Neurospora crassa OR74A: one gene and its partners. The protein of the gene in region 1 interacts with the protein of each later gene in a biochemical or structural test. Links are inferred from orthologs where the notes say so. Each region holds a gene or a part of one and is shown in the gene's direction. Other genes may lie near its edges.

Region 1 (8,328 bases):
ACCACCACCACCACCACCACCACCACCACCTCCACCACCACCCACACGTCCACACACGCAGCCGCGATCGTCGTCATCTCCATATTTGGACACCCATCCCCGTCACGTCGGACACGTTCCCTCCTTTTTTGCTTCTTATTCAACCGACACCTCCCATTTGGCACCTATCTCTTTTTGTTCATAATCCCATTTTTCTCCTTCGCGATTGATACCCCCCCCCTCTACCTCCCAAGACACACGTCATTTTACGCCCTTGATACCACATCCAATATTCACCTTCCCTCGACATTCGCGATTGTCTAGGTCCCGATGCCGATTGCGTAGTGCACCACTCTCACTTCCACATCACGACGAGAAACGTACCGTACCGTACCGTACCGTACCGTACCGGGTCGGGTCGCGTGCGTGAAGCCATGACTACGGAAAAGAAGCGCAAGCTACCTCCTCGTGCCGCGGCGAGGTCTGAGCAGGCCGCCAAGCGAAGACAAACCGACACGCCTCCGACCTCGAGAAAGTCTTCCACCCCAGCGCCCGCGCCCCAAAAGGAGCCCGAGCCAGAGCCCACTGTGGAGGAGCCACCCAAGCAGACATTGCCCAGCTCCGTCACAGCAGGGAAGCCGCTTCCTACCGTCGAGGAACCGCAGCCGGAAGACCTTTCGACCAAGGACTATCAGACTCTGCAAGAAAGGTGTGCAGCCCTCTTCAAACCCCCGCGCGTTCATGCGCTTTGGCTGAATCTAACATGACCACTTCGCAGCGGCGTTCTCCACGAGTCCTTTGTCCGATCGCGTAACCAATGGATGACCGAGCAAATATTCGAAAAGTACTGGACGAAGCCGATAAAGAAGAGGGGTGCCGTCATCGAGGAACCCAACAATCCTCCCAAGGACAGCATGGTCAAGCTGGGCCAGGTGACAATCACGGTTGAGCCACATGTCTTCGAGGCGACAATGTTCGCAGTCAAGGACCCCAACCCCCCTCCGCCAAAACCGCCAACCGAGAAGCGACCGATCCTCGAATACGGACCTCCGAATGGGGTCATGCCGCCTCCTCCTACACCCAAGCCCAAGTCAGTGGCGGCCTCAACCTCGTCAACACCTACGCCAGCTGCATCAGACGCCAAGAAACCGACCACAACAGAGGCAGATCCAAAGGTCACCTCTCAGACAACACAACAAGCGGAGGCCAAGCCTCAAACACCAGGCAAGCTAGCAGTACACCCGACGTCACAGACACAGCCGACCAAACAACCATCCGCGCAAAGTGCTCCTAGTCCAGCTGCTGCGGCCCCATCCACGCTCGCGAAGCCCGCTGGAACGCCTAGAGGCATCGAATCACTTCTTTCACCATCTCCGTCCTTGGCGGCTCCGCGGGCCCCAACCACAGCACCAGCTGCTGGTGCGCAACCACCCCGACCAGTGCCCGTCCCACCAACCGTTCCACCAAGTGCTGCGACTCCGGCCACCCCCTCAATACCATCTGGTGTCCCCCCCAGACCAGCAACAGGGGCTCCAGCAGCTCCAGCAGCTCCTGCCACGCCAAGAACCACTGCCAATGGCGCCGCACCAGCCAAGCCAGCTGCGGGGGCAGATCCAATCATTCTCATGCTAGCCGAGAAGGCTGGCGAAGACCCCCAACTCCGAGATCTCATGAAGCGGGTGGCCCAGGGAGAGGCCTCCAAGCAGGAACTCGAGCGATTCCAGGGTATCATTGACGCCATCACGTCAGAGAGCAAACGGCAAAGCAACATTCCGGCGCCACCAGCTGCAGATAAGTTGTTTGTCGATGGAAAAACGGTCCAGTACTTTGCGGATGAGGTAGCTGCAATACTTGACATTGTTCTAGCATCCAACCCTAAGCAAAAATCATCTACTTTACAGCCGCCCAAAGACAGCGATGCTCTCCTGGTCTCGTTAGTAAAGATGGCCCTGGACGATGAAAAGACGAAGGAAATGGTCCGGCGTATAGCCCACAATAAGCCTCAACCCACCGATGCCACGGATCTTAAGGCGATTCTGGACCTCGCGCATTCTAACCTTGTCACTAAAAAGACTCAACAGCAACGACGCCAATCAACGGTTTCGGCAGCGGGATCTTCGAAACAAACCAACGGCGCGAGCAATGGGACTGATGGCGGTACAGGAACGACCTCACAGGCCAACGCTGCTGAGGAGAAGAAGACGACGGAGAAGGCCGAAAAGGCCACAAAGGAGAAAGGAGAGAAAGCCGACAAGTCATCGGCCCAACAGGCGCTTCGTTCAAAGGGCCCCCCGCCGCCGCCCAAACAACCTGATTATTCGGCCATCGTATTCGAGTTTGCGGGAGGAAACGGTGATCGGTACCTCTTTCCGAAGTTCAGCATTCTGGATTATCAGACTATTCCCAGTAGCAGCGCTAGCAGTACCCAAGGACAGCAACAACAACAACAGCAGCAACAGCAGGTGGTGGCGTCATTCCTTATCATCAGGAGGGGAAGCAAAGCAGTATATCCGATGGCGGACCCGGAGCTTGATTACTACCAGCCCATAACTATAAGGTTGTTTACGGCGGCTCCCAGTGGCAAACATGTGCTGGATAATTTGGCAAGAGTAGTGGCGCCGGAGGAAGAGGTCAAGAGGTACATGGACGATATCATGGATACCATGCAACGAAGCGAATACGTTCTACTGGCCATGAGGCTGCCCAGACCCACCGAGACGGCAGAGAACGGCGAAGGAGAAGGAGATAAGGCGCAGGACGGGGCCGGCGCGGCCGGGTCTGGAAAGGGACAACACGCGAAGGAGAAAGACAAGGACAAGGAGGTGGTGATGATTGATGCTCCATCAAGAGCGGAGGAAGCGGCGGCGGCGGAACTGAAAGCGCCAAAGGCGGCAAGGACGGGGGGAGTGTTGTGGACGACGGCAAACAAGCAGATACCCAAGCCGGAGATTAGGGAGCTTCCACCGAGGCGGAATGCTAGAATCATGATGGAGACCGCGGAAGATGAGCAGTATCAGAGCTTCATTCAGACGGTCACCCGGAAGGATAAGGAGGTGGTCAGGTGATTGTTTTTTTCCTGGAGGAGCGCTGTATCATGTAGATAGTTTTGTCTGTCTGTCTCTGCCAGGAGTTGACTTTTACTTGGCCGTGTTTACTAGGTATGAAAGGTTGCCTAGTAATGGTGTTGACAAGGGCAAACGAAAGGGAGGTTATCACGGTGCAGCGCTCTCTTCTACATACTCTATCAGCTGAAAGTACTTGTACTTCAGCCACGTGCGCAAATGAATAGACGATGAGGTATCTCTACCTACCTAGGTACCCGTCCTGGACTGCAAGGTCCTGGTCGAATGTAACCTGAACAAAAGGAACCTCTTGCCGGCCGGAGACCTGACCTTGGCCGCGAATAGCCTAGCGGCTTATTCCAGTGCTTGGCAGCAGCAGCAGCACACTCCCCTGCCGTCCAGTGTCCTCAACCAACCGGGGGTGGAGGTGTGACCGTCCGTGCTTCCAAGTCCACCCACTCACTGTCCAGTTGTGGGCCGTGCAGCTCTCTTTCCGCCTCACGACCCGCGGTGCTGCTGCTGCAAGTCTGCAACTGAACACTCACAGCGAGTCGACGCCTCAAAAGTCGGTCCATTTCCCACCACATCATCCATCGGCTCGAGGCCAGCCAATCTTCCTTTTCTCACCTACAAATATAATCCCACATCTCGCGACCTACGGCCATCTCTCCCTTCCTCTCTCCTTTTCCATCTCTCGCCCACACCTCGACACAACGCGCGACCGCCGGTAGTACGACTGTACGACACCCCTGTCGCTCGCCGCTCTCTTTCAGATAAATTATTCAGAATGGCGTCAAACAGCTGGCAGTTCGCCGGCGCCGACGACGAGTCCGACGATGACAACTTCAACCCCGCCCCCGCCGACATGTCGGACGAGGAGAACAACGACAACGACGAAGAGACCACGCACAACCACCGCCCCGCTGGTAAGACCGTGAGGCAGGCTAGTAGCCCGGTACCAGACGAAGAAGAGGAAGAGGAGGAACATGACGAAGAGGAAGACGCGCGCCCGGCCAAGCGATCGCGTCGAGATCACCACGACGATGACGAGGATGAAGAGCAAGATGAAGAGGAGAACGAGGAGATAGATGAGGAGGAAGAGGAGGACGAAGAGGAAGAGGAAGATGAGGAAGACGAGGATGATGTTCATGGTGTAAGTCCGGATCCCAATAATGTCCCTCCACACTTCAATTCTGCAGCACCATCCCATCCACACTTGCCAGAAAAAAACAACAAAAGACAAGTCCCGGTGCAGATGACCCGCCAAACCTACCCGTGTCGCCACATCGGGGACCTAGCTAACCCGCTGTCTTTTGTCCGCAGGGCAATCGTCGCAAGCGTCGCAACAAGGACCGTAGAGCTGCCTTCTTCGATATCGAAGCCGAAGTTGACGACGAAGACGAGGGAGAAGACGAAGTCGGCGACGGTGAAGAGATAGAGGACTTCATCGACAATGCCCACCCTGACGATATTGCCGACAGCGGCCGCCTTAACGATGACAGAAGACACCGCGAGCTCGACCGCCGCCGAGAGATGGAGGCCAGCCTCGACGCTGAGAAACAGGCAGAGATCCTGCGTGAGCGCTACGGCAAGCGCGCCCCGGCTAGAGGTTACGGAGACATGGCCATTGTGCCCCGTCGCTTGCTTCTTCCCAGTGTCGAGGACCCCAGCATTTGGGCCGTCAGGTGTAAAGAAGGAAAGGAGCGTGAGGTCATCTTCTCGATTATGCGTCGTATCGAAGAGCGAATGGGCACCAAGAACGAGGTCCCCATCACGGCTGCTTTCGAACGTGGTGGTATCAACTCGGTCATGAAGGGATACATCTACGTTGAGGCTCAAAGACAGAACGATATTCTCGTGGCTCTCGATGGCATTCTCAACGTTTATCCCAGGAGCAACATGCACCTCGTCGAGATCAAGGACATGCCCGACCTCCTGCGTGTCATCAAGACGCCTAACCTGGAGCCCGGCGCTTGGGTTCGTCTCAAGAAGCCGGCCAAGCACGCCGGTGATCTTGCTCAGGTTATCGACGTTACAGAAAACGGCCTCGAGGCCAGAGTCCGTTTCATTCCCAGACTCGACTACGGTGTCAGGGATGACCCCGTCTTCCAGGCCGATGGCAAGCGCAAGCGCCCCGGTGTGCCCGGCCCTCGTCCTCCCCAGCGTCTGTTCAGTGAAGCCGAGGCGCGCAAGAGACACCCCCGTTACCTCCAGGGGAACCCGCAGACCAACAGCTGGAACTACAACGGCGATGATTTCGAGAACGGTTTCCAGGTGAAAGACATCAAGATCCAGCAGCTCGAGGTCAAGAATGTCAACCCTACGTTGGAGGAGGTTACCAAGTTCGCCAGTGGAGCCGAGGACGGTACAGAGAACCTCGATCTTAAGGCTCTTGCTGCTACTCTCAAGGATAGCGCTAAGAGTGTTGCGTACGTCCCTGGTGATATTATCGAGGTGTATGAGGGCGAGCAGCAGGGTGTCATCGGCAAGGCCACCAATGTTCAAGGCGACATCGTCACATTGCAGGTTACCGAGGGTGATCTTGCTGGCCGGACCATCGACGTCCCCAACAAGGGTCTGCGCAAGAGGTTCAGGATTGGTGACCACGTCAAGGTCATTGGTGGCAGCCGGTTCCGTGACGAAGTTGGTATGGTTGTCAAGATCGTGGACGACAGAGTCACCCTCCTCACAGACCAGACCAACACGGAGATCACCGTGTTCAGCAAAGACCTCCGTGAGGCATCTGATATTGGTGGCCAAGGCTCTCTTGGACAGTACTCCCTCTTGGATCTTGTGCAGTTGGATGCCACGACTGTCGGCTGCATCGTTAAGGTTGATCGCGAGTCAGTCGTGGTGCTAGACCAGAACGGCGATACCAAACAGGTCCAGCCGTCGCAAATCACCAACAAGCTCCCCAAGAGGAAGTTCGCTGTGGCTGCTGACCGCAACGGCTCCGAAATCAGGCTGGACGACGTGGTCCGTGAATATGGTGGCCAGCAACGCCAGGGCAAGATCATTCACATTCATCGCTCTTACATTTTCCTTCACACCACGACCACCAACGAGAATGCTGGTGTTTTCGTCACTCGGGCTAACAGCGTCACCACGGTCGCGGCCAAGGGTGGTCGCAACACTGCTACTGCGGGCCCAGATCTCAGTGCGATGAACCCAGCCCTGAAGCGGAACCCCACTGCTAGCGGCAAGCAAATGCCAGCTCCGCGAACCTTCGGACCTGATCGGGCCATTAACCAAACCGTGGTTATTAGACGCGGTGGTTACAAGGGCTTGCTCGGAATCGTCAAGGACACAACGGACACTCATGCTCGTGTGGAGCTGCACTCTAGGGGAAAGATTATCACCATTCCCAAGGCTGATTTGAGCTTCAAGGACAAGGTCACTGGCAAGACCATTGACATCAACCAGCGCGGTGGCAGCCGTGGTGGCTTTGGTGGAGGAGGACGTGGTGGCGGCGAGTTTGGAAGCAGGACCCCTATGGCTTCGGGCGGATCGGATCGTACACCGGCTTGGGGCTCTTCTCGATGTAAGTTTTCTGTTGTCATGTTTTATCATCACTATTTGCCTGAAGCTAACATTGTCACTAGCCACAGCCCGTACCCCTGCCTGGAACCGCGACGCTGGCGGCTCGCGTACACCGGCCTGGAACGACGGCTCCCGTACCGTCAATCCCTACGACGGCAGCCGCACTCCTTACGGTGGTGCTACCGCCTACGGTGGCATCGGATCCCGCACTCCGGCGTGGCACTCGGGTTCTCGCACCCCCGCCCCCGACAGCTTCGGCCACGGCTCCAAAACACCAGCCTGGTCGGCCGGCTCCGACAGCTGGGGCTCCAAAACGCCCGGTTACGGTGCCTCTGCTCCTACGCCTGGGGCTAGCGGCGATGCCTGGGGCTACACGCCCGGCGCTTCAGGCGGCGGTAACTCATCCTCAGCTTACGATGCGCCCACGCCCGGTGGCGGTCTAAGCGCGCCCACTCCCGGCGCGGCACTCAACGCTCCTACACCTGGGGCGTACTCGGCTCCGACGCCGGCTGCTGTCAGCGCGCCCACTCCTGGGGCCTGGCAGGGTGGCTGGGGAAGTGGCGGTGATGCTGTAAGTGCGCCGACACCGGGTGCCCTGGGTGCCCCTACGCCGGGAGCACCGGGCTATGCGGATGATGATTAGAGACCAAATTCCGTGATGAGTCCTAGGGTGTAGGAGGATGTGATTTAAGCTTTCACGTTTGTTGTCCGGCGTCTAGATTTTTTGTACGTTAGTTGGGGTCTTCTGGGTGTCAGTCATTTGCAAGACGGAAAAGTCAGGAGCGCAAGGGATCCAGTGGAAAATGAGGATACAAAGGAAGCATGACATGGGTATGATGCAGTGCAAATGGAAGCAAATCGAGGAATAAATTAGCGGAAAAGGCGGTTTCCTCAGCTTGGTGTTTGTTCTTCCGTGACTTGAGCAGGATATTCATCGCTTAAGCATCAGCCTTGTCTGAGATACCCTTGATGTCTTCACACGTTGTCCGTCCCTCGCTGTCTACTACTCCTACGTAATTTCTTGGGCTCAAATATCTATGCATGGAATGATCGAGACCCATCCTATGAAGTATAATTCTTTTACTTTCTCTTATAAAGTCGAGGCAGTTAAATTGCTGGAACGTCGAAATGTGTCCATGTTCTTTGTTACTTTGATGATGATGAATGCTGAATCAGGGGTTAGGGTTAGCGTACCGTTTGCCGCCGCCAAGCACAGACCTGTGTTGTTCTCCCTCGCAGCTTCATCCGTGCATCGACATCCATCTCCACTCTCCAACATCAACACCACACACAAAGCTGGAGAGAATCCAATTGTCAGCCCACAACACTCGCGACTTATTTGATTCCTTGACTTCCTGTTCCTTTTTCTTTCAATCTCTTACTTCAGCTGCCATGAAGCCATGGGGTCCAGTCAGCAATTGGCCGGGGCCTGAAAGAGAGACAGACAAGTTGTCCCCTTCGGTCACAGTCCACTGACTGATGTGAGGACGACGACGTTCCCGTCGCAACGAGAACTCGACACAATGATGGCTTTGTTCTCTCCCCTTGCCGACGGATTGGTCAAGTGTCGATTGCCCATTCCGGAGCAAACAAAACACGCTGGGTTGTCAATGCTTGGTTCGAGCTGCCAGCCTGTTTCTTTGTCTCCCAGCTTCACAATGTTCGCATGCAGCAACTCCAGCTCTCCCTCGAAGGTTCCCGTCCTTGACTTTGGACAAAGAAGATTACCTCTAGCTAAAGCATGACC
Region 2 (8,328 bases), on another chromosome or scaffold:
AAGACTATCGCGTTGACGCCTCGGCAGTAGCGCTCCCACATCTGCCGAAAGCGCGGCTGGCCACCGAGATCCCAGCATTTGAGCGTGACATGCCCGCGTTGGACACGCTTGAGGTTGAAGCCTACTGTTGGGATAGAGCTATGTGTGGTGTGATATTAGTCGCGGGGGATAAGGAAGGGGAGAGGGGGTCAGGAGGGGATTTGATGGAATATGGAATGGGACCAAAAAGAGGTGGCTTACTCAAGGGTGAATTCTCCGCCCTGGAATTGGTCAGCAAAAGCTTCAGCTATGGAAGAGGTGGACGGCGGCATTGGCGACTCACCGAAATAACTCTCAGCAGTGACGTCTTTCCTGCGTTCTGCAAGCCGATCATGGTCACATCCATCTCCGTTGCCCTGTTGTATCTGATATGTGAGCAATCGATGCGATAGGACAAACTGGGCCACTTCCGTGACTACTCACCAGAAAGTTCTGAGCAACCAGTCATAGACTTTTTTGAAGAGCCCGGCCATGGTGGGTAATTGATGTGAAGTGATGCGATGGCGGTAGTAGATGCGAACAGGACGAGAACGAATGAAAATCGTCGGGATCCGAAGGAGTTATAGACAATGGCGTAGGCGTAGACCGGACTGATCAACAGGTTGTATGGTCCGGATATTGACAGCAGCAGCGCACGCAGAGCGGCAGGCAGGTCTCAGTCGGGATATTACTTTTGCAGGCAGACGATATAACAGGTATGGTACAGGACACACGAAGAGCAGATAATGAAAAGAAAATAAAAGTAGAATGTCTCGTATGACTCTGGCACACCCGTCGCGGGCTGGCAAATCTCGCAACGAGGTGGGAGATGCAGTTCTTGTGCGATCTGGGTGGGATATGGGGTGGTTGAGGATAGTCCGTCCGAAGCCGACGCGGGGCTGTCTGGCTGTCTGGCTGCTGCTGGGGTGCCGCGCGGGTGTGAGAGTGACCGAGTGGGTGACTTGACTGTGTGTAGGTGTGTGTGTGTGAGCGACTGGGATTCCGTACGGGCCGCCGCTCGCCAAGGTGAGATGATGAATGACCTCTCTCTTCTGGAGGAAGCCTTCTGGAGGAAGAGTGGTCCGTGCCCCGAGCCGTGATGATTTGACGGATGTACTTTGTTAACTGTAGTACACAGATGAGAGCGGCTAAGACCCGGGTTTCATTCGTTTCCCTCCCAGGGCAGTAGTAAACCAGAGTTGCTGGCGGTGATCAGACTGCGAGCGTGCGATGGCGGATATCGATGAGCGAGAATAGTCGAGGTAGCAAGTGTTGGGAGATGATCATCGGCGGGGGAGACAGACTGGAAACGGAAGTCGCCAACTGGAACTAGAAAGGGAACTGTGTGATACCCGCCCGTGATCACGGACGAGAGCGTCTGAAAAGAGGGACCGGGAAGAGCAAAAGCAGGGTGTCTAGAGTATCAATCGATGCTAGGGTCTCTAGAGACTAGACTAGCTCGGGGGAAAGACTGGGGTTGATGGCGGCAGAGGCGGAGGCGGCAATAAGACTGAAGGTCGCACGAGGAAGAGAAGACGGTGTGCCAAAATGGTCAAGTCTCGGGACAAGACAACTGAAGGTGACTAGGCTGGAGACTGAAGAGTCAGGTAGGTACTGTAGTATCGGCGGGTCTTTTGGTTTAAGGGCGGATGGGAAAGGTGTATAAGGTTGGATCGAACTGGAGGTTGCCGCTGCGGGATGTTGATGCTGATGCTGATGCTGATGCTGGGATTCCCTTATATGGGATGGCGGATGGCAGATGGCAGATACTGCAGGGACTGTTGCTTCTGTTGTTGGTTGAGTGCTCCCGTCTGCTTGCGTTCTGTGCGTGCGCAGTCAACGGGCCAGTACGTAGAATATGTAGATCAATCAACAGAGTCTAGTCTAGCCTGGTAAAGTCGCCTTCGTTCGGGTCAGTAGTGTTCGTTGGATATGTGGACGCAAGATGGCTGCTGGTTCGTCCGTCTGTCAATCAATCAATCAATCAAGACCGGGAACTGGCTGGGATGGATCTCGCTCGCCAGGGACAATCAGATCAGGGCTCGGTAGCCGGATGGATCTGTCCTGCTCTAGTCCCTTTTTTCTCTTCCGTCTCCCAAAGCTGTGTAATCCTTGGAGAACCGTTGTTTGTGTTCCTCGACGCTGAACGAGGAGATAGTGTGTGACTGGTAGGGTTGAGTGAGGACGGATCCGAATTGTACTACGGGCAGTAATATGAGGCCGAGATGTCAAAAGTCAAGTTTGTGTGAAAATTTGAAAGACTCCGTCAAGACTTTTGTTGTCTGTCATTGTACAGTAGTAGCGACTGGACTGGTAAGTAGACCTGAAGACTGAGCCTACAGCACAAGAGGAACCCTGAATGGATCAAGACGGGAAGGTGGTGTATTGTAGAGGCCACCAACAGACGCAACAGCGGGGTAGTTGCCTTCTTCTGATTGGCCCATTGAGCTTCGGGGCAGGTTCCATTCCCCACGCTTCAAGGCCCATGACGGAAGGAGGAGCCCTTTGGACTTTCTCTTGTTGAGCTCAGTGAGATCGATCAATCCTCAGCCATCACATGAGTGTGGAAGGCGACATCAAGGGAATGTGGTTACCAAGGAGAGACACTATACCTCTAATGACTCGAACTGCTTCTCGTCAAGTTCAATACAGTCATGGTGAAACCCGAGCAGCTCGTGTTGTTTTACAGGCCCCAAGGCTCAATCAAGGTCACCAGGAGACAGGGCCACTTTGCCTCGGGCTTAAGAGATGTCTTGGTGAGTGGAGGGAAGAAGTTCCAGTCCGCGATACTTGCTGCCTTGACCTTTATCTAGTACTTCCACAAACAGTGATGCTGATAACCACCACCAGTAATCACCACTCGAGGCTCTTCCAGGCTCATTGACCAATGCCACAACCCGCCAGTTATGGCTATCCAAGATTACCAGTGATTGCCCGATTAAACGACCATCCCGTCTGACGGAGTGCGGAGTGAGGGGAGAGTGCAGTGCATAAGTGTAGGCAGCTGCATAGATTTTGCGGAGAGGACTAGTACGTACAGGCAATGCAGGACGCGCCGGGTACGGATGAAGATTCGAGTGATGGCATTTGATCCACTTCAACTTGTGCTAACCGTTTTTGCGGCCTTGAATGGGATGAACGGGTTTGAGGTTGCCGTTGGTTTGACTGACTTATAGGCCGACGGCCACTCCCTCTTCAATAATACTGACACAGTCCGCGATAGGGCCGGGCAGAGTGGTCGCCCATGTTCGGGCCATGAGCTCTTTTGCTGCTGATGATAATCACCGAAGCGACTCAAAGTGTCCAAAGTCCACTTCTCATTCGGCCGGGAAAGAGACGAACTACCTACCATAGGTACCTAGGATGGGAGGCTGGAAGCGAGGCGGGACCGGAAAGCCATGAGGTTAGGCCTCGAAGACGGCCGCCATATGGCCTCTCGGGGAATGCAATCTACTAGTGTACCAACGGGATTCGACTTGAAAAGCAAACATTTGGCCGTTGGAAGAAGCCAACATTGTGAGGAAAGGCTGAGAAGACTGCCGACTTTCTCCTCCTCAAGAAATGTCATCACCTATACTACTGGACCAATGAACAGTCTCCTGCTGTGGAGCTCAACCACTGACGAACCTCCAACTCCCGTCCCATCCTCATGGGTCACAACGTCACGGCAAGCAACTTGACACTCCAGTGGCGTGCAAAAAGGGTCTGATATCAACAGGAAGAAGTGAACCACCTGTTGTGCACAATAATCTTGACATGTCCGGGATGGAACATGTTGAGGTTGCACTGCGTGCCCGTTGAATCATCCACATCTTGTGTCTCCTCTCTTCGTCGTGCCATTCATGGACCTCCATCCTCAGCTTAAACTCAGTACTCACTCAGTACGGCATTCTACACAGCACCGACGCCAGGCACCAAGCACCTCACTGGCCATCGGGACCCTGTTGGTACTTCCTCGTCCGGCTTAGCGTCATCCAAACCTGACAAAATCGAACTGTGGGGCAGTAGTCCGATAAGCGATAAGCTCTAACAATTCGAGGAAAAAAAAAATCAATGCAGCGCTGGGGCGGGCGGCGCATTCAATTCTAGTTGTTGACGCGCTCGAAAAGTTGAAGGTCGGTGTCCACGCTTGCGACTGACTGACTGAAGGGACGGAAACAGTCCAAGTCAACAACGAAACCAAACCATATATCCCGTTTGAGAGATCAATGCCCCCGGCGCATATCTCTGACAACCGTCCCGATACCCAGCCGGCAGATTATGAAGGAATAATCCAAGGAGCGCTTCACTTTGCTGCTTAGAAAGCAGACAAAAGCCCATCCATACTTCTGGGTTTGATATCCACCTTGAAAACACCAACCCGCATATCCCGAGATACTGCACCCAAGGACAGGACCCCAAGTCCTCCTCACACACCAACACACAATGGCTCCCCAACAACCGCAGCCGACCAGCCAGGACTGGGACGTCGAGTTCAACCAGGTCCGCCGCGAGAAGCTCTTCCGAGACCCCCCGACCGACCGCACCGCCTATCCCGCCCTCCAGGCCGCCGTCGACCCCCACATCGAGTCCTTCAACGCCCTCTTCCGCGACGATGGCAAGCCTTCCCTTCTCGACCACGCTCTGGCCGAGATTGGCACCAAGACATTCCTAGACGGCGATGAGCGCGCTGATCCCCAGGGCAAGAACAAGCTCACCATCCGCTACAAGAGCATCGAGTTGCAAAAGTCTCAGGTCCCGCCCACCAACCGCTGGGCCAAGAACCGTGAAATCTTCCCGGCCGAGTGCAGAGAACGACATGTCTCATACAGGGGCAAGCTGTCGGCCACCTTTGAGTATCGCATCAACGATGGCGAGCCTCACGAGTTTGTGCGCGAGCTCGGCCAGATGCCCATCATGGTCAAGGTAAGCCTGGTGACCCGAGATATTCCCAGTCTACATCATCGATGTCTAACAATTCTGCTTGCGAAAAAAACAGTCCAACAAGTGCCACCTCCAAAACAACTCCCCTGCCCAGCTGGTAGCAAGAAAGGAAGAGTCCGAAGAATTGGGCGGTTACTTCATCGTCAATGGTATCGAAAAGCTCATCCGCATGCTCCTCGTCAACCGGAGAAACTTCCCGCTCGCCATCGTCCGTCCCAGTTTCCAGAACAGAGGCGCCTCCTACACCCCGTACGGTATCATAATGCGATCCGTCCGCCCTGACGAGACCTCCCAGACCAACGTCCTCCACTACCTCAGCGACGGCAATGTCACCTTCCGCTTCTCGTGGAGAAAGAACGAGTACCTCATCCCCGTCATGATGATCATGAAGGCCCTCGTTGAGACAAACGATCGAGAAATCTTCGAGGGTCTTGTCGGCCCACCCCAGTCCAAGGGCGTCGCCAACACCTTCTTGACCGACCGCGTCGAACTCCTCCTCCGCACTTACAAGAAATACGGCCTTTACAGCAAGACCCAGACTCGCGCGTACCTCGGCCAAAAGTTCCGCGTCGTTCTCGGCGTCCCCGACACCATGTCCGACTACGAGGTTGGCACAGAGTTCCTCCGCAAGATTGTTCTTGTCCATCTCGGCTCCCAGGACGTCACCGAGCAGCAGGATGCCGACAAGTTCAACATGCTGCTCTTCATGTGCCGCAAGCTGTACGCCCTCGTTGCCGGTGACTGCGCTGTCGACAACCCCGATGCCGTCCAGAACCAGGAGATTCTCCTGGGTGGTTTCCTCTACGGCCAGATCATCAAGGAGAGGCTCGAGGAGCTGTTGACCGTTTCCTTCCGGGCCTCCCTTCGCGACTACCTCAGGAGGAACCCCACGGTATCTTTCCAGTCCGACACTTTCCTCAAGGACTTCCCCATCGCCATCTTCCGCAGGGCCAACGAAAACATTGGTCAGTCGCTCGAGTACTTCTTGTCTACCGGCAACCTTGTGTCCCCTTCCGGTCTCGATTTGCAGCAGGTTTCCGGCTTCACCGTCGTTGCCGAGAAGCTCAACTTCTTGCGTTTCATCAGTCACTTCCGCATGGTGCATCGTGGTTCCTTCTTCGCCCAGCTCAAGACGACAACGGTCCGTAAGCTTTTGCCCGAATCGTGGGGTTTTCTCTGCCCTGTCCACACTCCTGATGGTTCTCCTTGCGGTCTTCTCAACCATTTGGCCCACAAGTGCAAGATCATGACGGAGTCTGTAGACGCCTCTACCATTTCTCGTCTGGCTTTCGAGCTCGGCGTTGTCAACATTTCCTCGGCTGCCACCAGCGAGAGCGTAGTCGTTATGCTTGATGGCAGGATCGTCGGTTGGTGCACCCCTGAGGAGTGCAAGTCCATCGCCGAGACTCTCCGTTACTGGAAGGTCAACGGCGAGAACGGCGTACCTCTTCAGCTCGAGATTGGCTACGTCCCTCCTTCCAACGGCGGTTCTTACCCCGGTCTCTACATGTCCTCTCAGCCCGCTCGTATGGTCCGTCCCGTCAAGTACCTCCCTCTGCAGAAGGAGGACTTTGTCGGTCCTCAGGAGCAGCCTTACATGTCGATTGCCTGCACGGAGCAAGAGGTCATCCCCGGGGATTCTACCCACGTGGAGTTCGATCCTACTAACATCCTCTCCATCCTCGCCAACATGACCCCCTTCTCCGACTTCAACCAGTCTCCCCGTAACATGTACCAGTGTCAGATGGGTAAGCAAACCATGGGTACACCAGCAACGGCTCTTGCCCACCGTACGGACAACAAGATGTACCGTCTCCAAACGGGTCAGACGCCTGTTGTCCGCGCACCTCTGCACAACACGTACGGTTTCGACAACTTCCCCAACGGCATGAACGCCGTCGTCGCTGTCATTTCATACACTGGTTACGACATGGACGACGCCATGATTCTCAACAAGTCGGCACACGAGAGAGGATTTGGTCACGGTAGCATCTACAAGACCAAGAAGGTCAGTCTCAAGGATGACAGCAGGACACGCTCGGCCAAGAGCATCGTCAAGATGTTTGGCTTCGCGCCCAACAGCACCATCCGGGAGTCCACCCGCGACATGCTCGACAACGACGGTCTCCCTCGCGTCGGCCGTCTTCTCCGTGAGGGCGACGTCATCTGCGCGTGGCACACCGTTTCCGCCGACTACAACGGCCAGCTCGTCAACCGCGACGGCGTCACTCACTACGAGCGGTACAAGGACTCGGAAGACGCCTTTGTAGAGGAAGTCCGCGTCATCGGCGCCGACAATGGCACCGAGCCCCTGCAGACCGTCTCCATCAAGTTGCGCATTCCCCGTTCCCCCGTCATTGGTGACAAGTTCTCGTCTCGTCACGGTCAAAAGGGTGTCCTTTCGCAAAAGTGGCCCGCCACCGACATGCCCTTCTCGGAAACCGGTATCCAGCCCGACGTCATCATCAACCCTCACGCTTTCCCGTCGCGCATGACCATTGGCATGTTTGTCGAGTCGCTAGCCGGCAAGGCTGGCGCCCTGCACGGTCTCGCGCAGGACTCCACCCCCTTCAAGTTCGACGAGCAAAACACGGCGGGCGATTACTTTGGCCACCAGCTCATGAAGGCTGGCTACAACTACCACGGCAACGAGCCCCTCTACTCGGGTATTACGGGCGAGGAGTTCCAAGCGGATATCTACATTGGTGTGGTCTACTACCAGCGTCTGCGTCACATGGTTAACGACAAGTACCAAGTGCGTACCACTGGTCCCGTCGTGCCTACGACTGGTCAGCCCATCAAGGGTCGTAAGAAGGGTGGTGGTATCCGTGTCGGTGAAATGGAGCGTGATGCCCTTCTCGCTCACGGTACTTCGTTCCTCCTTCAGGACCGTCTTCTCAACTGCTCGGATTACTCCAAGAGCTGGATGTGCCGTCAGTGCGGCTCCTTCCTTTCCACGCAACCCACCGTGTCGCCATTTATCGGCAAGCGCAAGGCCGTCAGCACTGTTAGGTGCAGGAACTGCGCGGTCAGGCTCGACGATATGGAGGATGTCGATCTCATGCAGATTGACGGAGAGATTTGGGAAGATGGCAGCGGTACCCAGTGGATCGGTGGAGAGAACACTACCATCGTTGCGGTGCCGGGTGCGCTTAAGTACTTGGATGTGGAGCTGGCGGCTATGGGCATCAAGCTGAAGTACAAGGTAGATAAGAAGGATGAGATTAGGAGGGGACAGTTGGTAGGGAAGAAGGCGGGCGATTTGATGTTGACGGCTTAAGAGATATGAGAGTTCTATGTAGGTATGGATGGGTCTGGTCAAAGGGTACAGAAAAGTTCCTATGTATGGGTTTATGTGTTTAGCAGCATCATGGGAGTAAGTTAGGG
Region 3 (8,328 bases), on another chromosome or scaffold:
ACGCACATCCCCGCACCGCCGGGTCATCATCCATCCTTCGACAACGTACAAACGACTTGGGGAAAAACACATCAATCCACATCGCATCAAGTGCCTAACTTGACGAAAGCCACATGGATATCTATCACACATATGCTAACATGAAGCTTAGTCCCTACTATGTCAATAAGCGCCATCACACAGTTACAGAAGTATCATGGGTCGTCAGTCAAATGCCTGGATACTGAACATGTTATCGGCGGTCGGCGGTCAGACTGGACAAGTCCTCCGTCGTTTGCAGTCAGTCAGCTTGAACTCGTTCCGTCTTTTCTCTGCCTCTCGCAGATGAGCTAAAGTTGCTGCGGTTGCGGACGGTTCAGTCATCGATGCATCTTCCTTTGGACGCTCGTCGCTGTGCTGGTTGCTGTTCACTTTGCCATGGATAATTGATTCTTGTGAAAGTGGCGCCAAGGGCGAAGAAGAAAGTTCTGGCAAGTCTGGCGATGGTGGAGTAAACGTGAATGAGGGTAGAGGGGGACGATGTGCTCTGATACCGCCGGCCCCCCATCCTTCGTCCTCGGAGGGATGCGATGGGTCAGAGTCAATCCACAAACCTGGCTGGTGTTGTGGTCTTTGACTAGTCCGCCGGGTTTGAACTGTCAGCGGAGATGAAAACCAGCTTTTGGCGCTTAGTGGGTGATCTGTGTCTTCCTCTTCTCGTTGTTGATGGGCTGATGATAAGGTGTGACACGAAAGGAAAGGAGTCGGGTCCCTCTGAAAGTGTGGCGAAATCTTAGCACTGGCGTCTTCGTCTTCTTCCTCCTCCTCCCCCATAGGCTCTGCCGCCGTACCAAGTTCTTGTTCTCCATTCCCATTATGCGCATCAGTGGTCGCATCGAGCTTTTCGATGAAAGGAGCGAGCCGAATCTTCCTAGGCTCCCACGAAGCTGCATTATCGCCTTCAAGACGTCTGAAGAGACTGTCATCTTCCTCGGGCTCGCATATCCAGGGATGAGTAAGAGCTTGGCGCGCCGTGAGCCGGTGTTTGCTGTTGTAGGTGAGACATCCGCGAATGAAGTCCTTTGCATGGCTTGAGATGTTTTCATCTGGACGGAGGCGGGAGGTTTGAGGGTCAATGGGCTCATTGTCATTGCCGTAGTCTTCATCGCCATCTTGAACAGCAATGTCACAGCCGAGGTCATTGAGGATGATGTTGAGGTAGCGGTCGATTCTGTCTTGGCTGGTAAAATCGAGATGACGAAGATTCGGAAGTTCTTGGAATCCAGAGAAAAGCTGAAGGCAAAGCATCCCAATGGACCAGATGTCGACAGACAATGAATGACCTCGCTCGGAGTTATAGCATTCGCTGAATCAAGCGTTAGCATTGCTCTCAACAATCCAGTGACATATGTCAACCCAGGAGGGGAAGTGCGAAACTCACGGGGCGCGATAGAAGGTTGTTCCAACCTCGGACCTTAATCTTCCACGGTTCGTAACAGCCGAGTCCCCAAAATCGGAGAGAACAAGCCTGTAGGAGACATTTGGCGCTATGGCACAGAGAATATTCTCTGGCTTGATGTCTCGATGTGCGACCCCCTTGTTGTGGATGTAGTCAACAGCATTGAGGGTCTGGCGTATGATCCAGCGTATTTCTAGCTCGGGGAGTGCCCCCTCGCGTGATAGAAGTGAGAAGAGATCGCCACCAGTAGCCAGCTCTGTAAAGATATACCTAGAGATACATTAGTTGCCCAACCCTGCTAGCTGCTCGTGATGAAGGTCTTACACCGAATGCTCTGATTCGAAGGCAGCCTTGATGGAAAGAATATTCGGCTGACGACTTTTGTTAGCTTGATCCATCGTCCCGTGCCCTTTCAATGACTTACGTGATCGAGGTAGCTCAACAGCATTGCCTCCTGCTTGATCCGACGGAGTATCTGGTGTGACCGGGGCCGTCTATCTAAGTTGTGCACTTTGCAAGCCACCTGCTGCCCTGTCAAGACATCTGTGGCTAGGTAGACCACAGCATGGGCACCGTTTCCTAATGTGCGGTCTTCCACAAGGTATCGGTTCTCAAGGAGCTGGATGTTGCTAAGTCAGATCATGGCATGTTTTATTTTCGTCGCACGCCAAGATAACAATAGTACCTTGAGCTCCTCTCGCTGGCGTGCAGTGAGCCGCAAAAACGAAGTTCCCTGCTCGAGCTGAACGAACTTGAAAGTGATGTAAGGATATATGGAGATGACATCCCCATTCTGGAGTAGTCTTCCCGGAGTGATGTCTGGCTTCTTCCCAACGCACTTTTTGTTGAGCAGAGTCCCGTTGGAAGACTGTCGGTCTCGCACAAACACAAGTGATGTATGGCGACCTTCTTCGTCAACAGTGATAGAATACAGCTCAAAGTGGTTTCTTGAGACAGTGGAATCGACAAAGACAACGTCATTATTATCTCGGTCCGTGTCACGACCAATTCTGACTGTCTGGTTTGGCCAGATGTAAAAGCCGCCTGGACTTGCGACACGAAAGTTAGGGAGCACTGGTTGGAGGAGACCAGCGAGGGATACATCACAGTATTCACGATCACTTCAGGGAAATGACAGATACCTACCTCTTGTAGGAGGAGCAGTGCTAGTGTCTTCGAAGGAAACACTTGCCACAGGCGGTTGCGACATATCAAACCAGCTGTCAACACCGAGACACGGAAAACAAAGGATAATGATAATGATAAAGCCGGCAATGTCAACGTTCACTCATGTATGCGTTGATGTCGTCACTTGCGTCCGTAGATAGTGTTGACTATTCATGGCCCACCGTGGCTTTGCGTATTGAGAAGTAGAAGTAGGTAAAGGTTGGGAACGACACTCAGAGTTCAAGATCACAGGACGAGATTGGAAGAGTGAGTTGGTGCCTTGAGGATCGACTCCTCCTTCCCATGTCCAGCTATCGTGAAAATCTTTTTATGCAGACAGGTCGTGCCTTCCTTTGACCTGGACGGGTGCAGCTTGCAAGTGAAGTGAAAGTGCAGTGTCCATTAGTAGGAGCGGGAGGCAGGCTCGCTCGTTGGAGGACGAGACGGGAGTCGATCTCCGAGCCGAGCTTCTGATGCAGTCCAGCTGAAGCTCCCGTCCGTCAGCGGGAGCTTGGGCCACCTAGGGCAAAGGTCGCACCCCGCACGGACCGCATCCAAACAAAGAGCGGCAGGCCTGGGCAATTTGGGCCTGCGTCACCTGACTTACCCCACAGGGCTGCTTGCCCTGGAGCCCTATGAGATAAAAGTTCCCCCTCTCCATTCGCAAGTTGAAACTCTTTCCCATCACCAACAAGCAAAACTCATCTTTAAATCCAAGATGTACGCGCTCCCGCCCCCCAGCATTTGCTTGCCCGCCTACTGACATACAAGCAGTTCAAGATGAGAGCGAAGTGGAGAAAGAAGCGCGTGAGACGCCTTAAGCGCAAGAGAAGAAAGATGAGAGCGAGATCGTAAGTTTCACCATCGGCGCATCGACAGTTGATGCAGCTACAATCGCCACTCAGGAGCATATAAGCTGACTCGATCCCAGCAAATAAACGCCTCGCCTCACTCGACCCAATCAGCTCTTGACATTATCCTCTAAGCCATTAGACAACTTGGGCTCGGTGTCGACTCCTCCCCTCAGCGCGGAATGACGCCACATCGGTCGCTCTGAAACCTTGCGGTGATCAGGCGAACTCAGGGTTCCTACGGAACATGCACCCCTCGGGACATGCTGCACATCAAACTGTGGCACACATAGAACGGAACTGTTTGGTGGCGGATATGGTATTGGCTGGTTGCCTGTCAACTTCATGGTTGAGTAGCAACAAGGTGTTTACGGATCAACGCCGGTGGGAGCAAACTGTCTAGTTTGGAGACGCGAATTCGGGATACCCGTCGCAGCAACAATAAAGGCCGCTTCGCTTCATGATACACTTCTCTGCATCTGTGACAAACGGGACTGCATGTCTTGGATCAATTGTTTCTGTCGACAACATGGTCATCTGCCCTCGAACAGGTGACATGGCATTTGCACACAAAGGGAATACCAATTTTTGCAACATCAGTGAACATTTTCAACGACGGGGAAGGCAGTGGCCTGCATGCACGAGGGCATAGAAATCGCGTCCCAAGCCTTGGTTTGCCTTGTGACTTGGACTGAACCCCTCCATGTCTGGTTGATTGTTTTAGCACGCGTGCGGCTTGCTATTCTTCATCTCTCCAAGCAATTTAACAGCAAACCAATAGCAATTGATTTCATAGCATGAAGATTTCGCGCTTCGTAGTATTTCAACACAAATCATCAAACATATTGCATCGTCGTCATCAAATGTGGTGTGTCGATTGTAAAGGCGGTAACTGATACCGGACCCCGGCAGGCGGCAGAATTTTTTTCTGGCTGCGGGATCCACTCGGAAGTTCAGACAGCGACTCTCCAGCTGCATGATCCATTTGATTTGGCGGGACTTCACGACTCTACACTACCCCAGCACCTTTGTAGCCCGCAAACACCACCATGGGAAGCTCATCAGACAAGAAGCGCAAGAGCGCTGAGGATACAACACCCCAAATCAAGAAGAAGAAGGTCGACTCCGAGAAATCGTCCAAGTCGCCCAAGTTCATCAATGTCGGAGCTGTGAAGAGGCCGCAGTATGCGCCTCCGGTCGTGGGTAAGCACATGTTGATCGGCTGAAACCATGGCCGTCAAGTCCAATGGAGGAAGACTCTAACATGCGCTCCTAGCCGCGACCTCGGGACTCGCTCTCTCTTCGTCCATACAATTTCAAGCCTACGCCACACCAGCCGACAAGACCTCGAAGCGCAAGAAGAATGGCGCGCCCGCACAAGAGTTGCTGCTGCACTCTGCCAACCACCGGACGATGGACTACACAGCTCGCGAAGATAGGACAGGAGACTCGTCCGACCCATACCTGAAGCACTACATTGGCATCTTCAACCCCAAAACCGCCGAGGTTGAGATTGTAGAGGCGCGCAAGATGGTGCTCCGTGGCACAGTTAGGTCGCAGAAGGCGGTTGACGAGGCAATGGAAGAGAAGACTCAGAAACAGGTAAGCCTGGAAGTAGTGGTCAGGGGCATAAAACCAGACTGACGGTGCAACAGCAAATGATGGCCATGAGGAACGAGCTCGGCGAGGCATTCGGTACTAAGAAGGCGAAGAAGGCGATCCGCGACGTGACGGAGAACGCCATTACATCTCAAAAGGTTGGCCAGAGCGAGCTGGTGATGATGGACGCCATCAAGACCGCCACCAAGGACATGTCGACCAAGGAAGACCTTCAAGCCGCTGTCGACAACGCCCGACCGGTACCGCGCGGCAACTTCAATGCCGATGAAATCGCAGACGTCTACGTACCATCCCAAATTATCGGATCCGAGGTCCTGAACGCGATACCAGTGATGGATTGGCAGGAGAGCGTCAAGAACCTAGAAGACATCCAGGTACCTTCGCGCTTTGTCGCCAAGCGCGTTTCCAACGTAGCAAGCAGCGACGACGCGGTGCACAGATTGAGGGTACTGCGGTACCTCTTGTTCGTCATCATTTTCTGGAATGCCACCTCGCAAGGAAGGGAGCGTGGCACAAGAAGCATTGGTAAGAGGGATAAGCTGCGCGAGGTTATGGCACCAGCGCCCGAGATCGTGATTGAAAACATCCGCCGCAAGTTCTCGGACGGCGGAGTCATGCGCAAGACACACGTTGACCTTCTGATGACGCACTGCTGCGCATTTGCCGCCATCATCGACGGCTTCAGGGTCAACACGATTGACTTGAGAGAAGATCTGAAGCTGGAGCAGAAGCAGCTCAACCAATACTTTATCGAGATTGGAGCTCGCGTCAAGCAACAGAAGGTCGCTGACAAGATGGAGAACTTTGCCGTCCTGCAACTGCCTCTTCAGTTTCCCAAGATCAGACTGCCGGCACGGAAGAGGTAAACCACGCTTTGCTGAGCCGGACCCACGGCCACGGATCATATCATCAAGTTTAGTTGGATTGTGCGCATTGCACATCATCCACCCAGTCCTACATTGGACATCTTGGCGCTTACGTTTGGAAGTACCCTACGAAGTGCTGAGAAAAGGCATGCTTTTTGCGAGAGAAGCGATCATCCAGCTCAGTTGGAAGTCTGGCCGCTTCCAGCCTGTAACCACCATGGTGTGTTGTTGAGACACACCCAAGCGACACCCAGGCGCTGGCCAATCAAAATTCCAAGCGCCTAATCGAGAGGAGGCCATGACCTGTACCGCACTATTTGAGCATCTTGCCGAGGTATACATCAGTTATTTTGTGGTTCGGGCAGTAAAAGCTAGGCTAGAAAGCATATATCATTGTATAGACAATGTAGAGAATAGTCATGGAAATTGATGGGCCATAAGAAGTATGGCGGGAAGCTTGTCCCTCAGTCTTTATCAAGCTCTGAATGGGGTCAAAGAGATGACATTGAAATCTAGGAAAAGGGTCACCCCACAAAAAGCTGGCCCCCCTGGGTTCTGGTTCTCAAGTGCCTCAACGCTTGGCCAACCCCTTTGTGTTTGTTTACTACTGATATCCGCACGGACCCAATAACGAAGATGGGAACTGATGACGGGCTTCGAGATGAGTAATGGGGCAGAGATGATCATTAACCTGAACCAGCTAACGCCAGTTGATGTGCAAAATCAGAACCACGAACGTCAAGCTAACATATGTAACAGGAAGAATGTCCGCGGCAAATCCTACGCAGATATCAGAGCAGCCGACGGCCAGGCTAGAAGAAAACAAGATGAAAAGGTAGTTATATGGCTGCCCTGGATGGGCATCCGCCCAGGCGTCACCTTCTACCGTTGTCCCCTTTCGCTGGCCGCTGGCCGCTGGCCGCCCCGCGGTGTGAGACGCCGTCGGTGGTAGGTAGGGCTGGGCCGAAGCCGATCACCCCACGATGAAGTTCCTTCCCCTTGTGCCTCCCCAAAGCGTCCCCGACTTTGTCCGTCCTCCCCGTTTCCCCTGGCCCATTGCCTTGACCATCCCATCGTCCGTGTGCCGGCCGCTGCTTGTGCTTCCCCTCGCTCCAGTCCAGTCCCCTTAAGTTGGACCCCTTGGCGTTGTGCAGAGTGAAGGCGCTTGAGCCGCATTCGAAAGCCACGTGGGGAAAATCCCCACCGAGCGACCAGAGCCAGTGCAGTTTTCCTCACCGGCACCCACCCCGACCAGCTTAAATGGTATGACGACATTGCCTCTTTTAAAGAGCTTTTGGGATCTTCAACTGAGACGCGTCTCACTCTCAACGACCATTTTCCACAGATTATTTTGCTCTCTAAATTGCGGCTTCAATTTTGCATTTACACACTCAATGCACCTTTCCCAATGCTGTCTGATGTCTCTGCTTTCAATCTGAGCAGCCATTCTCTGCAATTTTGTGTTGGTGACAGCGACAATACGAGTGCTCAATTCACGACGCGTCAAAGTTGGGTCGACGGGCGAATTGTCGGGGCAGGGGGTACTTTGCGATTTTTTCTGAGGTGATTCGCAATGCCGGGGCTGGTGCCTGCAGCGCATGGACCAGCTTTTGTGGTCTCTGGGCGTGCTGATTGGCCAGGACGGTGCCAACCAGCGCCTTTCTTCCAGTTCCAGTTTCATTCCAGTTCACAGTTCCGCGAACGACCTACCTGGTAATGAAGGGAACGAACGCGACCGACCGACCGCTGACTGTCCACCTTCTTGCCTCCCGTCTGCCGCACCCCAGGCAGCTCACCACGCTCATTCACTCACCACCTCAACTCCAGTGACACTTCTTTCACGCCAGTCCTAGGTAGTCTTTGCCCCTGCTTCTGGCCTCCCTCCCGTCCTGCCTTCCTTCTGCACAACCTACCTACAATTCACGGCATCTGACCGACTGCACTCGATATCTCCCGCCGAGGTGAAGCTACTTATCCATCCAGCTTCGCGACTTTCAACTATAACGACTGGAGTTTGCTTCAAGTCCTCTCCTCTCGGGAAGTTATGCGCGCGCGCGAGAGGATTTGCACCACACTGCTGCCTCCCTTCACTACTACAACCTCTACATAACATACTAGCTCGGCACCAAGACCGGCACCGCAGTCCGACTTCAACTCCCCAGCGAGCAGTCTAGTCTAGTGCCGGGCGTGTGTTCGCGTGTGTGTGCGTGTCTGCTGCCGTGTGTGTGTGTGTGTATGCATATTGCATTACCCAAAGAAAAAAAAAAAGAAGCATCGTCGCATCAGTCGTCGCATTCTACCAAATCCTCCTACCTGCCCAGTGCCTCTCCTAGATGCCCTTCGACTCTCTGTCTGGCTCTACCTCAATTGCGCCCTTGGATAGGTT

What was found.
Region 2: the proteins of NCU06929 (region 1) and un-18 form a complex in vitro, tested with the Saccharomyces cerevisiae proteins (2 studies listed by BioGRID). The link is inferred for Neurospora crassa OR74A from reciprocal best matches to the Saccharomyces cerevisiae genes SPT5 and RPA135.
Region 3: the proteins of NCU06929 (region 1) and NCU06485 form a complex in vitro, tested with the Saccharomyces cerevisiae proteins (2 studies listed by BioGRID). The link is inferred for Neurospora crassa OR74A from reciprocal best matches to the Saccharomyces cerevisiae genes SPT5 and RPA49.

The regions. Positions count from the first base shown.
Region 1 is NC_026507.1:791,223-799,550, forward strand, and holds NCU06929 (transcription elongation factor spt-5), read left to right. Parts: upstream 1-3,523; 5' UTR 3,524-3,828; coding exon 3,829-4,194; intron 4,195-4,364; coding exon 4,365-6,582; intron 6,583-6,643; coding exon 6,644-7,224; 3' UTR 7,225-7,640; downstream 7,641-8,328. Other genes in the region: NCU06928 (hypothetical protein), read left to right, coding at 414-688, 758-3,044. UniProt on the Saccharomyces cerevisiae protein: The SPT4-SPT5 complex mediates both activation and inhibition of transcription elongation, and plays a role in pre-mRNA processing.
Region 2 is NC_026501.1:9,614,156-9,622,483, reverse strand, and holds the start of un-18 (DNA-directed RNA polymerase I subunit RPA2), read left to right. Parts: upstream 1-3,756; 5' UTR 3,757-4,443; coding exon 4,444-4,923; intron 4,924-4,996; coding exon 4,997-8,221; 3' UTR 8,222-8,328. Other genes in the region: NCU08618 (ADP-ribosylation factor family protein), read right to left, coding at 1-138, 241-260, 323-395, 463-512; NCU08617 (hypothetical protein), read left to right, coding at 2,576-2,774, 2,869-2,948. UniProt on the Saccharomyces cerevisiae protein: DNA-dependent RNA polymerases catalyze the transcription of DNA into RNA using the four ribonucleoside triphosphates as substrates. Component of RNA polymerase I (Pol I) which synthesizes ribosomal RNA precursors.
Region 3 is NC_026503.1:1,580,816-1,589,143, reverse strand, and holds NCU06485 (hypothetical protein), read left to right. Parts: upstream 1-4,432; 5' UTR 4,433-4,505; coding exon 4,506-4,659; intron 4,660-4,732; coding exon 4,733-5,058; intron 5,059-5,111; coding exon 5,112-5,942; 3' UTR 5,943-6,466; downstream 6,467-8,328. Other genes in the region: stk-43 (serine/threonine protein kinase-43), read right to left, coding at 250-1,345, 1,421-1,708, 1,763-1,809, 1,863-2,057, 2,124-2,482, 2,585-2,648. UniProt on the Saccharomyces cerevisiae protein: DNA-dependent RNA polymerases catalyze the transcription of DNA into RNA using the four ribonucleoside triphosphates as substrates. Component of RNA polymerase I (Pol I) which synthesizes ribosomal RNA precursors.